Linked DNA regions of Mus musculus: all the other regions are reported to be linked to region 3. Evidence: microRNA targets listed by miRTarBase, many of them from high-throughput screens and not tested one by one. Region 3 holds a microRNA gene; each other region holds the end of a gene's coding sequence. Distances are from middle to middle.

Evidence for each region. Region 3 holds the annotated microRNA mmu-miR-3060-3p (CCAUAGCACAGAAGCACUCCCA, at 2,747-2,768, opposite strand). A microRNA usually pairs through its seed, bases 2 to 8, with sites in the 3' UTR of a target mRNA and lowers its output. Matches are read on the target gene's strand: a 7mer-m8 pairs with bases 2 to 8, a 7mer-A1 pairs with bases 2 to 7 and ends in A, and an 8mer does both.
Region 1: miRTarBase lists Arid3a as a target of mmu-miR-3060-3p. Seed matches in the 3' UTR shown: 7mer-A1 at 885-891 and 7mer-m8 at 2,003-2,009.
Region 2: the mRNA of Sec24a is a reported target of mmu-miR-3060-3p. Seed matches in the 3' UTR shown: 8mer at 2,255-2,262.
Region 4: the mRNA of Nln is a reported target of mmu-miR-3060-3p. Seed matches in the 3' UTR shown: 7mer-m8 at 1,602-1,608.

What each region holds. Positions count from the first base shown.
Region 1 is chr10:79,951,574-79,955,832 of GRCm38, forward strand. Arid3a (AT rich interactive domain 3A (BRIGHT-like)) reads left to right here. Exons shown (of 9, transcript NM_001288625.1): 9 at 167-3,445. The coding sequence ends at 363. Among named protein-coding and RNA genes, the nearest start is that of Wdr18, 6.4 kb to the right of the region's middle.
Region 2 is chr11:51,691,727-51,695,985 of GRCm38, forward strand. Sec24a (Sec24 related gene family, member A (S. cerevisiae)) reads right to left here. Exons shown (of 23, transcript NM_175255.3): 23 at 537-3,515. The coding sequence ends at 3,401. Among named protein-coding and RNA genes, the nearest start is that of 0610009B22Rik, 5.2 kb to the left of the region's middle.
Region 3 is chr11:4,137,922-4,142,180 of GRCm38, reverse strand. It overlaps Mir3060 (microRNA 3060), which reads right to left and starts at 2,817; the gene lies at 2,735-2,817. It overlaps Rnf215 (ring finger protein 215), which reads right to left. Exons shown (of 9, transcript NM_027859.3): 6 at 2,323-2,442; 7 at 2,103-2,246; 8 at 1,781-1,883; 9 at 988-1,694. The coding sequence ends at 1,672. It overlaps Ccdc157 (coiled-coil domain containing 157), which reads left to right. Exons shown (of 12, transcript NM_001164620.1): 12 at 1-1,058.
Region 4 is chr13:104,021,488-104,025,746 of GRCm38, reverse strand. Nln (neurolysin (metallopeptidase M3 family)) reads left to right here. Exons shown (of 13, transcript NM_029447.2): 13 at 667-2,308. The coding sequence ends at 801. Among named protein-coding and RNA genes, the nearest start is that of Gm30967, 14 kb to the left of the region's middle.

The sequences.
Region 1 (4,259 bases), not on the chromosome of region 3:
TGGCTCCATTGGCAGACAGGGTCTTGCCAGTGCACTCTGGCTGGTCTTGCATTGGCATCACACTAGTGATCCTCCTGCCTCAGCCCCCCGAATTGCTAGGATCACAGGCTTGTGCCCTTGAAAAGCCCAGCCCTGTGACACGACCCTCCCTTTGCCTTTGTCCCAGGTGTGTTGTTCGCTCAGCCACCACCTCCTACAGCACCTTCCGCCCCCGGCAAAGGGGGCGTCAGCAGCATCGGTACCAACACCACCACGGGCAGCCGGACAGGAGCCAGTGGCAGCACTGTCAGCGGCGGCCAGGTGGGGCTGCCGGGGGTGTCTACACCCACCATGTCTTCTACCTCAAACAACTCCTTGCCTTAAAGGAAACCAAGTTGCATGGCTGCCCACCTGCCACAGGGACCACACGGCCACACAGGGGAACCTGGGACGTCAGAAGAATCCCAGTGGGCCGGTAGATTCCCAAGGAGCCACACTGACGCCAAAAAAGAGAGAGAGAGAGAGAAAGAGAGAGAGAGAGAGAGAAAGAAAGAAAGAATATATATATATATATATATATATATACATATATAGAAAGATAGATAGATGGAGAAACAGATTTAATAAATCAGGGCAAAGCAAAGAACACTTGAATCTCTCAGGTTTCGGAGACTCCAAGAAATGGATTTGATGAGGGCCACCAAGGCAACCTCGAAGCCGAAGGAGGTCCCCTTTCCAGAGGCTTCCACGGGGTTTTGCTTGAGCAGCCCATTCAAGCACGTCTGTTTACCTCATGAATCCCGGCACTGCGTGTTCACAATTTTTTGTTTTGTTTTTGTTTTTTTTTTCTTTTTTTGTTCCTTGGTCTTTAGCCATAGTTCCTTTTGGAAAAACCAACCTTGGAAGCTATGAATTTTTCTTTTCTTTTTAAAACAAGATCTCCGCATTCAGAACGCAATTTTAAAAAAGGGTTTGGGGTTTCTGATTTTGTAAATATTCTATTTTATTCTTGAGGGCAGGGATTGGATCTTAGGAAGAATCTATCTGTATATCTATATATTTGTGTTCATTCAGGGAAACAGACTTTTTTTAAAAAAAGAGAAAAGCAAAATACCAGCCATGGTCGGTCCCCACCCTTGTCACCCCAGAGCCCTTGCGTGTCCTGCAGTGCCCCTGGCTCAGCTAGGAGATGCTGGCTTTCAGCAGTTTCCACAGTTCGGTCAGGCTGGCCCTGCCCACTGGCTCCATCATTCAGGAACCTGGATTGCTTACCCAGGACACAGAATGTTCTAGAAACGGGTAGGGGAGCCATGGAGTGCAGTGGCCTCCTGTGCCTCAGGGATGACAGTGCTGGATTCTCTTTGCCTGGATAGGTTGCTTTCAAGAGACAGATGCAACAACGGGCCTAGCTCAGGGCAAGGACTAGACTTGAGTCACAGCCTCCTGTGTTCCATCTCTCTTCCTCTTTGTCACTCCCCTTGCTGGGACAACACCTGAATGTGACAGTAGTCAACCGGGAAGGATCCTGCTGTCTCTTCCATAGGAGCCAAACTAGGCATGGCGGCACACCCTGTCATCCCAGCTCTTAGGAGGATGAGGCAGGGGGATGGAGAGAGTTCAAGGTCATCCTTGGCTACATATAGAGGCTGAGGCCAGCCTGAGCTACTTGAAACCCTATCTCAAAGAAGCAAAATAAGACCAGGCTGGGTAGTGGCACATACTTTTAATCCCAGCACTCTGCGAGTAGACCAGCCTGGTCTTACAGTTAATTTCAGGCTGCCCAGGGCTACACAGTGAAATCCTGTCAAACAACAACAACAAAACCAAAAAACGTTGATTCCTTTTGGCTGGAGCTGCATACATACTCTCTGCTGGACGGAGGAACCTGTCCTGGACTCAGCCTGGTCTCCATTCCCAAGTGGGCAGTGCTGGGTTCTCCTGGAAGAGGAGTGGGGCATATGCAGACCTGGGAGCTGGGACCTGCTTGTTCCTCAGCCCCAGGAGCCATGAACCCCCAAGTGTATGCTATGGGGATCGGGCCCTCTTTTGTCCTGTCTCAGGTTGTCAACACACCCCTTCCATCCTTCCAGGAGGGGGTGCCGCCTATTTGGAGGGGAGGGAGATCTCAACTTTTCCTTCTGGAAGCTTCTGCCTGCCCCGTTTTGGGGCCACTGTCTTAGCCGCACAATCATTCCTGGTCAAGGGTGTTGAGGGGTCCTTGTCCCTTCTGACAACCCTGTCCAAAGTCCACCTCCATGGGTAACTGGCTCAGGGATATAGCAGCCAGCCTCCTGTGTCCCTAGTGGGGTCTATCTGAGGGGGTCACCTTGGTGGGCACATGCAAGGCAAGTTTCTTTCTACCTCAGGTCTTTTGATGCCAAAAAGAAAAAGAAATGCGCCCAGGTCACCCACTTGTCTGGTCACCTTCTCAATGCCCATGGTGGGAACTTGGTGTCCACTTGTATCTCAGGCTCTGTGAGTGACCAGAAGCGCCAGATCCTAACTCAGGGGACCTTGCCCCCCATGGCTCTGTGACTGTAGTGGGGTGCCCCCTGCTGGGCATACTCAGCAGCCCTTCTTGGTCCTGTCTGTGCCTCAGTTGCCCCATTAGGCCTTCGCATGGGGTTCAGTTGGCACCCATGCAGACTGGAGTGGGGTCAGAGCTGGGGTCGTTACTGTCCACCTGGTACCTCAGGGCTTGGCGTGGGGCAGGTGAGACACCCAAACTCAGGGCAAAGGGTGGAGGGGCAGGCACAGGCTGCTTCTAGAACCTTCCTGGTCACCCTTACGCAGGCCACCAGGCTGTGTGTCTGTCTGTCTGTCCAGCTGCAGTGGGTGGGTAGGGATGGGGTTTGGGGACAGCTGGGTTAATGATTTCTGAGGGTTATGCATCTGTACAGTCTATTTTTTTTTCTTTCATTTTAATCATTTTTACACACTTTGGGTTTTTTTTTCCCCCACCTCCACATAATTTTGGCTTTTGTGGATTTTATTTTTCCTTCTGGGTAAATGTGAGCTGGGCTGTTTTGTTAGGAACAGGGGAATTTTTGTTTCTTGGGGGTGGGAAGGGCTTGTCCGACAGCCTGGGGGTTGCACACAAACTCAGGTAAAAGTGAAAAAATAAATAAGTGGATTTTAAAAAAATTAAATTAAAAAAAAGAAAAAAAAAAGAAAAAACTGTTTTCTACCTCTGGTCAGGCCCCTGTGGTCAGTTCCCGCCCAGGCTGTGGCCTGAGGCCCACAATGGTCACAGCTGTGCGGAATATTCAGGAAAATTCAGCTATTAACAGGAAAACTCAGACAACAATGGGGTAAGGTGTGATTTTTGAAATTTTTAAAAAGAAACACTGAAAGTTTACATTTTATGACCTTATTGTGGATTGTATTTAAACCTCAGAAATATTTAACGGGCTTGTAACCCTGTAAATCAGTGATATTAAAGAGTTGAGACACTTCTGTGAAAGAAGAGTGGCTTTTTTGATTTTGTTTTGTTTTGTTGGTGTGTGGAGGGGACCCCACAGAACATACTAGGAATGGATGTCTGGGGACAGGAATAGTTGGTGAGACTTAGGAAGCACCTGGTTTGTGTGGAGGAGGCCCTGCCTGCTGCATGCTTTCTCCTTTCACTTCATGTCTGTATGGGTGGTGGGTGCAAGGTTGCCCCGTGGATGGTGGGTGGGCGCTGTGTGCAAGGTTTTCCCCTTCCACCCCATCGGTCTCAGGGACTGAACTCAGATCATGGAGAGGGTGGGGTTCCTGTCTAGCTACTGTTTCCTTTCTTGCTTAAAAGAAAAACAGAACAAAAACCAAACAAACAACTTTACTATCTGAGAATTTCATACAGTCTATGCTGACTGTATTCTCTTGGGACAGGGTCTCATTACAAAGCCTTGCTGGCCCAAAACTCAAAGCACAGAGATGGGCAATGCCTCTGCCTCCCGGGAACTGGAACTAAAGCCGGGAGCCACACGCATGGCCTGTCTCAGAACCTTTGCATAGGCTGTTCCCCTGCATGCCTTCCCTGTCGGCCTCCTGTCTGTGAGCCATTCCTTTCTAGCCCTACCCTCAGCTCACACTGAGACAACATCAGCCCATCTCTGTCCTCTGGGCTAGTTACATGTGACGCTCACACCTCCACCTCCTCCCCGCCCCCCCCAAAACCAGGTGGAGCCCTCTTAAGCCAACTAACTCCCCAGGGCTCGCCACCAACCCCCACGGCCACCACGTCCCATCATCCAGGGACCAAAGCTCCTGGTAACCTCCAGGAGACCAGGCCACCT
Region 2 (4,259 bases), 48 Mb from region 3:
GAACTTCCAGAATTAGAGAACAAGGATCTTCTAATTAGAGTATCACCTGAAGAAAAAGCAAGGTAAACAACAAGCCCAGAGAAATAACACTGTAGAGTATTAAGGATAAAAACCACCAAAGGCTAGGAGACAATCGGCAAACAATAGTTGGGCCTATAGGTTAGTCATCTTTTAAGGCACCAACGTTCAGAAAGCCATCCTGTCCAATCTGGAATCCAAACCTAGCTACCCTTGTGGAGCATCAAGCATTCAGTGTAAGGCTGAAGCTATGGTTTCACAGGGTAGAGTGTTTGCCTAGCTCAAGTGAAGGCCCCTTATGTACTTTTCCAGTACCGTATAAGTCAAGGTGCAGTGGGACACTCTTGTAATTCTAGTACTTAGGAGGTAAAGGCAGGAGGATCAGGTCACAGTTCTGTCCTTGGCTACATAGTCAGTGTGCAGCTAGATGAGGCTATAGGAGAGCTATCCCCAAAACAAACCCGTGTAGAGGCAGGAAGGCCACCAATCTAGACTATCTTCAATAACTAACATTTTCATAAGCTCTTTTGATTAACTTTATTGAATAGCCAAATTTATAAGTTAGCACAGATCAAACATTGTTTGCATGGGTTACAAATGACTTTTTTTTAAAAAAACAGGAATAAAACAGTGAAAATTACAATCTGTAAAAAGGAAGACCAATCTTGTCTCAACATTTCAGGGGAGCAAGACTGAGCACAATACACTGGAGGTCAACATATACTTTTGATTTGAGAACAAGGACTTAATGTTACAATATCATATACACTACTTTACAAAATTAAAATTTCTATGTAACAATTGTGTTTATAATAGTTAAAACTGTGAAATCACATTTGGTGGTCCCCTAGATAATAGCTGTTATGCATCTCTGATTAGAAGAAGTAAATCTTTTATTCTAATTATTGCAAAACAGTCTATTAGACTCAGTATATTACATTAAATTAAAATATATGCAAGCTAAAATAAGTGTTACTGCGTAAGTGAATATTAGTATGTCAGACTTACAGGAACATTATTTTAAAAATTCTAGAAATTAGAAAAATAGAGTACTTTTTATGGTAGAACTGCATGCTCAGATTTATATATCAAGATTGCCCTTGTCTGTTACTTTAGTAGTTGTAGATCTGTAGAAAATTCAAGGATCTTTCATAATTTACAACTACAATAAAAAAAATATGGCATAGTGTAAATATTAGTTGCTTTACATCAGAAAGTAATACAGGATGGTAGGACGGGTAGTGTCTTACTGCAAAAAAAAAAAAAGTCAAAACTGAAAAACATTCAATATAGCAAAAAAATAATCATATCAATATTCCACAACGGTTCATTCTCTTGTCTGGAGAACAAAGTTGTGAACCCTAATAGTTATGTTTTTATAACTGTTATAAAATTACTCTGGATTGCACATAATATAATATCTAAAATAAAATTTAAAAGTAAATTTGTAAAATATACTAACCAAGCAGGTGCTAATAAGGGTCAGACTCACTCAGGGAAGGCACGAGGAAGGTTTCCCTAGGAGTACATTTCCCTCTGGAAGATTCCTTACTATGAAGAAAGAACCTAAAAATACTAACATTTAAAATCCCATTAAAAAGAAAACTTTAGTTCATTTAAAGGAACATTGTATATAATGGCTGTTTCTTAAAAAGAGGGGAAATAATATACACTTAATTGGTTATAGTTTGAAAACTGCTTCTCAATAAATGAAGCAGTTTAAAAAAAAAAAAAACCTCAATTGAATGTACTATATGTACACTGAAACAAAAATTTTCAATTGTCTTTTTGAGACAAAGTCTAGCTGGTCTGGCACTTGCTATGTAGCCCAGGCTAGCAATCGACCTGCTGTAGCCGTAGCCTTCCAAGCACTGGGGTTAGGATCCTGTGCCACCATCATGTGTGGCTTGGAATTAAAAAAGAAAAGGAACTCTAACACTGTTACTCTCACAAAGCACAGTTGTCCGGAAGCAGCTGGCAAGCATAGCTGTCTGTACACTCCAGGGGCCTGCTGCTTCCCTTCCCAGGAGTTACAGTCAGCCCGTGTGGGTGTAAACCTGGAAGTTACTATTATATTGGTGATCACATGAGACGGAGATTGTAAACACATTTCTAATCTATGAAAACAAAAACCAAAAAAAAAAAAAAATCTCTGAGTATTACACACAAATATTACTAAAGAAGTTCATACAAGATGATGAACCTGTGAAAACTGAGGCAAACTCTTAAAGACACATCATAGCACTTTAAATACACATGGATAATTTACCTATTTGTAAACAAAAGCCATCTGATAGTTTGACTGTAATAGTTCTCTAACTGAATCAAAACAAGCAGTCTTTAGAGCATGATAACAAATCAAGTTTCTTTTATAATTTTAAAATGATGGATTTGTACAATCTTAGTATCCACCAACTCAAACAGCAGCATTCATACCTTAAAAGGTTTTAATATCCCAGAATACATGAACGGCTTCCAATTTAATCCTTAAACTTCCTAGAGATACGCTGATGCATTCTAAGATTGCATCTAGGGAACCTTTAACTGCTTGTAATACTTTAACTCTATCAACCACAGCAGAAATGGACCAAACAAAAACCCACTCAGCGAACCAACAGAACCAGCTCCTATTATCATTGCCAGTCCTGATATATTTATGAAGACAGCTCAAATTTTATTCACGGCAGAATAAAACAGCAGAAAACCACCTAATTAGTTTTCACCTCAAATTAAAGTGACTTTGTTCAAGTAGAGAAAATACTGACAGATGTTAAAGCTTGACAATTTACTTTATATTCTTCCCAAGCAGGACCAGAGCTAGTGTACTCCAATTTCAGTTAACATGATCCTTTTCCTTCCCTACAAAATGAAGTGGGGGGGGGGGCGGGCGGGGCAAAAACAGATATGTAAAGGGATGGATTCCAGCTTTTCTACAGTCTACTGACTTTTGGATTTTCCAATTTAAAAAAGATCATTATTGATAGACTTGAAACGTCCCTAAAACACTTAGTCTTGTGACGTTTTTAAATGTAGCAGCCAAAAACTCATAAAAATAAAAAAATGAGAAATAGAAATGCAGAACACAGAAGTCTTTATTTTATAAAATGTTCTTTGCCTCTGCAATATTGTCTCATCTCAATCCATAACAACTCAAACATAGTTGGCAGCAAAGGGAAAAAAAAAGGTTTCCAATTGTGTAGACATCTATTTGATTTGAAAAATACAGTATTTTGGAGTTGCACATCTGACTCTCGGCTGTGGTCCTTTCTTTGCTATAGTTAGTTGAAATCACAGTGAAACATCTTAATCATCATCACATTTGTTCACAATCTTAAGGAGGAAAGAAAGGTACTGCATCCTCAGGAACTCCGCCAGCGACTCCTCACTTGTTCACTTGCTGCTGTATGTGCAGGAGGAATTCATAATATGACAGTGCAGACTCTGTTCTGTCTTCTACCAAGCTCTGAAGGAAGGCTGCTTTCATAAGACTCTCCTCCCTTAGAGATAAAAGGCAGCAATGATCATGTGTGTTAGATGCAGTAGAATAAACCTCAGATTCTTTTCATAGGCTACTGATTTACTGTGATACTTAGGGTAATTCTGATCATATAACCAGCTATGTCTAGGGGCTGTAAAGATGGCTCAGTGGTTTAAAGGACTGGCCACTCTTTTTTTTTTTTTTTTTCCATTTTTTATTAGGTATTTTGCTCATTTACATTTGCAATGCTATACCAAAAGTCCCCCATAGCCACCCACCCCCTCTCCCCTACCCACCCACTCCCCTTTTATGGCCCTGGCGTTCCCCTGTACTGGGGCATATAAAGTTTGCGTGTCCAATGGGCCTCTCTTTCCAGTGATGGCCGACTAGGCCATCTTTTGATGCATGGACTGGCCACTCTTATAGAGGACCTAGACCATTAGACTCATTTGGTTTCCAACACCTAAACAGTGGCTCACAACTGTCTCTAAGTCCAGCCCCTAGGGGATTCAGCACCCTCTTCTGACTCCCAAGGGCACCAAGTATACATACATACAAGTTTACATACATACATGTAGGCAAAACACACACTCGCAGAACACACACACACACACACAATGACTGTAAAAACCAAAGAAATTATGCCTGGAGGTTTCTCTGATGTAAATGTTTGTTATTTAGGGGAGAAACTACTGACATTTTTATGAGTAAGCTTATCAAAATTTTATCAATTCTAATAATTGGTTATCATGTATAGTTTATG
Region 3 (4,259 bases):
CTTCCTTGCCTGGCTTCTTATTGGTACCACCCATCTTCAAGAAGGCAGCAGAGGTGGGCATGGTAGCACTTTAATCCTGGCACTCAGGAGGCAGAAGCAGGAGTCTCTCTTTGAGTTTGAGGCTAGGCTGGTATACAGAGAAAGCTCCAGGACAGCCAGAGCCACTTACAAACCCTGTCTCAAAAAGAAAAAGAGAAAGAAATGGAGGGTGTGCAGCAGACAATGTGTGTCCTGTATGGGATGCCCCAAGGTCCTCTACTTCCTCCTGCTTTCCGTGGGCTTGTGTGTTGGTCAGATGCTTTCCTCATTTTTATTGTTAGTGTTTAGTGTTGGGAACTGAATTCAGGCCCTTGTGCATTCTAGGCAAGTGCTCTACCAGCTCCCCATGCCCCAGTCCTTGCCTCTCTCATCTGAAGGTCACTTTACATAACCTGTTCACAGGGGCTAAAATGTCTTAGAGTCAATATTTTAAAGATTATGCAAGGTATGTTTGTGCAGCCCAGGAGTGCAAGGCCTTGAGGAATTTAAGAATTCTACCTGTTCCCAGCAAGAGAAACCAAGGTGACTGGTATTTTGTTTGTTTTTCTTTTTGAGAGTAGCCCAGGCTGACTTCAAACTCCCTGTGCAGCCAAGGATGATCAGGAGTTCATGATCCTCTGGTTTCCCTTCCCAGAGGACAAAGAACAAGGGGATTGCAGGGACTGCCCAGCAGCCTTGAACTTTTTGTTTTGTGATGTTATATTGAGACAGGGTCTCTCTGTATAGTGCTGGCTGTCCCGGAACTCGCTATGTAGACCAGGTTGGCCTTGAACTCACAGAGGTCTGCCTGCTTCTGCCTTACCAGTGCTAGGATTAAAGGGGTGCACTGCTATGCCCAGCTGGTCTTAAACTATGAATCCTCCTGTCTCCACCTCCATGTTTCTGGGATTATTGGCATATGTCACCACATACCCATCTTTTCCTTAATATCTTAAAGCATCACACAGATTTATGTCTTAACAGATTTATGTTAAAATAGATTCCATGTTTATTTTACTATTAAAACTTCCCTACCCAAACATTTGTTTTGTGTTTTTGTTTTTTCCTTTTAATGATGCCCTTGCAGATGCACCACATAGATTCTGTGGCCTCAAGTATCCTGGTCAGTAACATTTAGCCCAACCAAGAAATACAGCACTAGATGGTTTCTAAGGCCTCTGAACCCAGCCAGCCTGGAAGAACTCAGCTGGACAGGCAGCAGGTCACGGAGCAGGCTCACTTTAAAGTCATTGATCAGGCCCTGGCCTGAAAGACAGGTTCCTGCCAGTGGGTCCCATGGCCACACATCTTTCCCCTCATCTATCCCCCAATAGATAGCATAAAACTCAACACTGACGCTCCGGAGTGCTGGGGACAGGTGTAATGGCCGTATGTTCTTCCCAGAGTTGTGGGAGCCGCCTATGAGGACAGACACAAATACCCCAGGTTTGCAGAGAAGGGCTCTTAATGATTTCTCCTTGCCTGCTGGGTCCGGCTCTGTGTTCAGCCTGGAGCTGGGAGGCCCTTCTACCCGCCATGGGCATGGTGGGACCTTTCCTTTGCCCACAGGGCTAGCTGGTCTGTCCATCCCACTCTCCTGTAGTGTAGGCTGGGAAGGGTCCGTCCCGAACTGCAGACTTTCCACTGGGGCAGTTAGTCATCTGAGTAGTGGTTCCCTGTAAGGAAAGGAAAGACAGGGAAAGAGGCATCAGGTGGGGCTTAGGGAGTTAGCCCAGGATCCCACCTGGCCCCTGGTGCTCACCCAGGACGTTGAACTTGCACAGTGGGCAGGTCTGTTGTAGCATCAGCCAGGGGTCCACACAGTCTCGGTGGAACTCATGCTTACAGGGCAGTACCCGGAGCCACTACAGGGTGAGAGGAGGGGCACAGGCTCTAGATGGGAGCTAGACCTGTGCCCTTCACCGGGACTGTGCATATAGCACTCTTAGGCCATTGCCAGGTATGCTTTTGCCAGCCATAATAAGGACTGGAAGACAGTCCTGGTTGGAGATTTGAGGGTCTCTTGGGAGCAGGATTGGGGACGCCACAGGCCAGCTTGTAGCTGACTGTGCCTAGGTACTAACTTGCTTGTTACAGAAGTAATCTAGACACACAGCACACGTCTCAGTGCCCGGCTCTGGAAGGCTGTGTGCTGCCCTGCTCAGCCGGCAGCGCCGAGTCTTGAGAGATGCTAGCCTCCGAACCACACGGCGTTTGAACAAATCCTCCTGTGGGAAGAAGATGGCCACAGTCTTGCAGGCCCAAGGGCTGCGGGTATGAGGGCTTCCACCGTCTGGCTCCCACCTGGCCTCCAGGCTCCTGCTGGTTCTGTCTTGACGCCTGCCGTTGGGCCTGAACCACAAGTCCTGTACACAGGAGCATGGCCACAAGCAAGATGGCGTTCCATAGCTGCTGCAGGGGCTTCTGCGAAGGGAGGCAGATGTCAGGGCACTGAGAACGCTCCACATGCTTCCCCCAGGGATATTAACCCCCGAAACACTGAGGGGCTCTGCCTGTGGAAGCCCCTCGCTTGCTCTTCTGAAGTCTCCATGCCACTGGCCTATGTGCTCTCCCGGGTCTGCCCCAGCTCCATGGAGAGTCGCATGTCTCCCTAATACCCTGTTACTGTGCCCCAGCACAGATCTCCTCCTCGGCTGTTCTCAGTCCCTACATCCTCCACTCACCGTCATCTAAGCTGATGGTCACCTGAAGCCACAGACAAAGCTGGTGGGAGTGCTTCTGTGCTATGGTCATTTTCTCTTCAACCAGAAGCACGAAGCACTCCCCACCCCCACGCCCAGGACATCACCAGCAATCTGACAGCCATGCCTTGGTCTCCTTTGTCCCTTGCCTTGCCACACTTCCCCTGTCATGAAAATTGATCTTCATTGTCCCTTCTCTTCACACCTTTGACCTACTGCTCCAGGAGCATCCCCTGACGCTCAGGGTAAGTGCTCCCCCTGCCCAGCCCTCCTCATACCCATAGGCCATGGGCTCTCTTGCTGCTGTCCTGGGTAGTCCTCCAGGCCCTTTAGTATGACATAGTCATATTGGAGACTCAGTCTTTGGGGGAATGAAACTGAAGTGGCAGAAGCAGCAAGCCACAGGGGCTTTCCCACCCAGGCACACCATTTTACACCGAGTTTAGATGTACTGTGACTGAAAAACAATTCACTTCAAAGTCCTCAGCTTTCCTAGTAGCTCTTTGTCACAGCAGACGGGGGGGATGTCCGAACAGCCCTATAAATCCTGGGACTGTTCTTCCTAACATAGGTTTGACTCCCATCACAGCAAAGGAGAAGGGTCAAAATGACCAGACAAAAGAGCTACCATCCTAGACCAGTCTGGGAGCTGTGAATGCAGCAAAACCAGCCCTTGCTTGGGGTGACAGCACTGGGATCATTAGAGGCCTCTTTCCCCTCTAATCACAGTGGAGTGGTGGCATCTAGTCTGAGCCCAAGGTTGGGCTCAGGTCTTTTTTGCTTTGACCTGGAAGAGCTTGTGCCTGCTGCCAGCTTGTGGGTCAGCCCTACGGAATGACAGTGGTTAGCTGCTCCCTGGCCACAGTGCAGACTACTGTGCAGTGTGTACTACAGTGTGGCAGGCCAGTCAGCCATCAAGAAGAGCCTCTCTGCAGCCTGTGGTCTGGAGCAGCCAGGACTTGATTCAGCGCAACTTCCACATTCCCAGCTCAGGGCAGTTCCTAGAGATGCCTGCCCGGCTATCATTTGAACATTTCACCTGCCATGGCTGTATAACATGGAATAGCCACCCCCATCTTGGCTGGCAGTACCTTCTCAGCTATTCAGCTTTGTCCTCTGTCCCTGCCAGCCTGGACTAAGCTATACATTCTCACCTCCAGGCCACAGAGGCCCTTCCCCAGCCTGCTCTTCTCCCAGATGTAACCTATCCCTCTGCCCTTCACCAAATGCTTCCCGTCCCCCCAATAAGTGAGGGGAGAGAGAGGGGGGGGGAGAGAAAGGGAGAGAGGGAGGAGAGAGTGAGAGGGAGGAGAGAGAGAGAACAGGAAAGCACCTGGCTTAGGTAGTTCACCTAAAGTTTAGGAGCCAGGGTTTTAACCTGTCTGACTTGAAACTGGCCCACATCACAAACTATTGGAATCTATGCAGTAGAAGAAGAGAGTATGTCTACTTCCCTTCAACCTGTACAGATTGGGGTTCAAGAAATGCTGTGGACTTGAACACCTTGAATCCCTGGAAGACAAGCACTGGAAGATGTGG
Region 4 (4,259 bases), not on the chromosome of region 3:
GATGTTCATGTGAATAAAAACAGAGGAACTGTGGTTTGTTTTCAAATTCCAGACTTCCATCTCTCAAAACTTCTGTCCTTCCACTCCTGACCCCTCAGAATCACTTGTCACTTAGCCATCCACAAGAATGCTGCTTAGGTTTCTTTGTGGGGGGTTGTTTTGTTTTTTCGTGAGCCCCTTATAAAAATACCTGAAGGCATTTGACAGTAGCCGAGTTCCTGCTCCGAAGCACATGCAGCCCCATAGCCTTGGGAACACTTGCTCTGCTAGCCCTTCTGAATCACACTGGAACTGGGCTAACTGGCAGTAGCAAATTGTGTTCTGTTTGGCTGATTGGTGTCCCTGCCTGCCTTCATTGTCAGCTCACAGCTGAGAATCTAAGGACAGGAGACAATAATTAATATTCCACAGGGAATTCAGGCCTGAGGCTAAAGCTCCAAATCTCTTAACTACAGGAAGGAAGGAAGGAAGGAAGGAAGGAAGGAAGGAAGGAAGGAAGGAAGGAAGGAAGGAAGGAGCGAGCGAGCTGCTGCGTGAGCAGAACTGTCTAGACTCGAGTAGAGCTGAAGCCCCTTTCCTCGCCCTCACCTCTCTCTCCCTTGTGTCTGGGGATCTGGAGGATTGCTGGGCCCGTGAGTTATTAGGCATGATGTTTTCTTTTATTAGGTTGGAATGAAATACAGAAACCTAATCCTGAAGCCTGGGGGGTCCCTGGACGGCATGGACATGCTCCAGAATTTCTTGCAACGTGAGCCAAACCAGAAAGCATTCCTGATGAGTCGAGGCCTGAATGCTTCGTAAAGCAGGGACGCTGGGGGCTGTCCGTGGCTGGAGGACAAGCCAACACCGTCCGCCATGTGGTGCCGGCCTGGAGACTGAAGGCAGTTTTACAAAGGAAAACTTAGATTTCTATTCATTTGCTTTTGTTTCTTCATTTTAAAAATTATACAGATGTAAATGGAATTATAAATACTGTGACCTAAGAAAAGACCCACTAAAAATAATTGTACTATAAAGTTTCATAAAAACAGATTTGATTTCTTTTGATAAAAGTTTCATATGACTGTAATTTGATTTTTTTACTGTTATAATCCAGATAATATAATGTAAGAGGGCTAAGACATTTTAAATTGAATCACATACATGATATAATTTGATCTTTCTTATATCTTGAAGTTTTATACTTGAGATTCCTGGACTGATAAGTGAATCAGCATGTTCTCTCTGGTAAATATTTTCTCAGAGCCCTGTGTCAACCTTGACCCTCTGCCTCACAACTAAGTGACAGTTTGCCTGTGTGTGTCAAGGCCCGCAGGATACACTTCAATGCTGTTTGTCTTTTGTAGTGAGCTTTGTGATTCTCGGCTTCTGTCACACTTACTTACATAGCTCCACTTAGATTTGGGGTTCTTTCCCTTCTAAAATTTAATTTCTAAAGTTAATATTATTATTTAGATAATATTTTTAAATTTTGTTTCAACTGGCCTAGTATATAAGTTTTGTGTCTTGCACTAGAAGCTCAAATGTCAAGTCTTCGGTTGCAGTCACAGTGAGAGAAGCAGAGAACTTAGGCATCTTTTGGGTTCTCGACTTTTAGTATTTGCTATGTATTTGTTTCTGCTTGTTTTGCTTATATATATATATTTTTTTTATTTTGTTTGCTTGAGGCACCATCTCACCATGGAGCCAGATTCGCCTGGAACTCATGGTAATTCCCCTGCTTCGGCCTCCCAAGCCTTAGGGGCGCAGGTGTGAGCTGCCTCACTCAGCTCAGTTCTCACGTTTCTAATAAGACTCTGACCTTGCCTCCCTGAAAGTGGTAGGTCGGCCCTGTAGTCACAGTGTGTTGAAGTGCCAGGGGGAGAGATGACATCCACTGGAACTTAGCTTTGAAAACTCCAGAAAAGAGTGCGTTGGAGCAGAGCGTTTGCGAACAGCTGCTCCCAAGTGTTCCGTGGGCAACCGAGCTGTGGGAAAAGGCTGTCCAGCAGGCTGTTTCATATGGCGACTGTTAAGTGAACCTCCAGATCTCCAACTCCTTTTATTGGGACCTAAGTTTCCAGCTCAGAGTAGTGAGCTCACAGCATTATTTTAGCCTTGGGAGTCTACTCCAAACGGAAGCCAAGTAGGATAGAGAGGAGAAAATGTAAATGAGCTGTGATCGGACTTTCCACAGGGCTTTGAGTTGTTTCTCCACACATACCTGAGGAATGACTTTCCTGGCAGGAAACGAAATTAGAGCCTGTCTGTTCTTTAGACCCGGTGGACTTTGTGTTCAATAAAATATTATGTCGTGTAATAAAGTTATACAGAGTACCAAGAGCTGGTACACAGCAGGGAAGCCCTTTGTTTATGTAGTTTGATTTGATTTTTACAAGGCTGGGCATCAAACCTCCGGCTTCTTCACCCATGCTAGCAAGTGCTATGCTCTCCCAGCTGCTTTTATGGTGGTGGTAGAAACCTCTGGAAGCGTCTCACATCTGTCCCCACCCCCATTTTTGTTTCCTACTTTCAGACAAAAAAAAGGAGAAAAAGAAAGAAAAAAAAAAACTCTCTTCAGCTTTTTCTATTATTGCCCGGTTTGTCTCCTTCAAAAATAACTTCATCATAAATCTTACTTTACTTGGAAAAGCTAATAGCCAGTGTGTAAAAGACTGACTGCACACAATAAAGTGACATCATTGTCCGTGAGAATGAGCTCACAGTACTTTTGTCTTTTAATGTTAAAGGCACAGCGAATCAGCCGCGCAACCACCCCTCGTGTTGTGTTTATAGGTGGATGCCACCACCCTCTGCTTGGGCTTCTATTTGGTTGGATATTCCTGCATGTTCCATTTCCTCATAAGGAACAGGTTTGGTACCCCTGTTCCGCTGTGCTCGTCCTCTGTTCTCAAGCTTTCCACCGGCGATTTTCAGATACCCAGAGGCAGCTCTAAAGTGTTCTTCCCAAGGTACAATGTCTGCAGCGTTTGTCATCAGAGAAGCTGGATACCTAAGAAAGTTTTATAGAAAGTGCTCACTGTGCCCATCAAGGTACTTGGTGTCTCTGTTGACATACCTTTGTGCTTGAGAGATAGGACTGGATAACTTTGGCTAAGTGGATTCCTAGCTATTGAATAAAGAGGGGGAATAGCAAGTCCTTTGGCTAAAAGCAAGAAAATCCACTAAAAAATACTAACATATAAATAACAGCTGGAATAGTTATATATGAACATGTTATTAAAATTGAAAGATTCCTCTACTAAGACAAACATAAAACAAAATTAATCAAGTCCCATTGTCAGGTAGAGGCAAAACCTCACTGTGATGATGTGACTTGGCAACCAAAAGTCTTGGTGACCTTCTAGCCAAATATCAGTAGCAGTTCACTGTTTAGCACATATAGGGAGGGGCCTGTGGGAAGCACAAAGCCTTTGAAGAGGGAACTGGAAGATGTTTGTATCCAGATCGAAAGTCCCTCTGGATCCCAATATGGTTAGCTCCCATAAGGAATGGGCTACTATGACCCATCCTAAGAACTACATTTTCAGCAGGCTTGTATTAATTAGCATCACAAGTGTTTGAGAAACCAACAATATGGTGATGACTTTGGAAATAGCCCTCAAGAGGAAAGTTCGTCTGGAGAGTGAATTCTCAAGTGAATTCTCACTGTTTCAAATACTTACACACTATGGGAGAGCTGATGTCATGGCTAACGGTGTTGGAGCTTAAAGGTACAATTAGAAAATAGAAGACTTCAGTATGAGGAACAGCTCCTAACTGTTGACTGAGACGCTTTCTGCTGCTGTTTGTGAGGGTTCATAAAGAACCTGTGTCCTCCATGGGTGTTACAGACATTTCCTCCACAGGTAAGCTTTGAGGTTTCTTTCTGTAGTGGTCAGGGAGACATAACTTGGGTGACAGGTTCGTGTTCTGCATCTTAGGGCACTGAGAACCGGGGATATGGGTTACTGGATAAAATACCTGCTGGGCAAACGTGAACCCCTTCATCTACAGAAAAGCCAGGTATGGCAAGAGATGCTACTACTGTGCCAATCCCAGTGCTAGGGGGATAGCAAACAAGCCAGCTCCATGGCCAGCCTAGACAAATCCGCGAGTCCCAGTGTAGAGGACCAGTCTCAAAACATAAGAGGAAGATAACCAGTATCAGTCTCTGGCCTCTAACATGTACTTTGGCACACACAAATGCACATGAATGTGCACACACAAATAGAAAAGGCGTTGACATAGTGTAGCTTCCCTTATGCTACAACCAGACC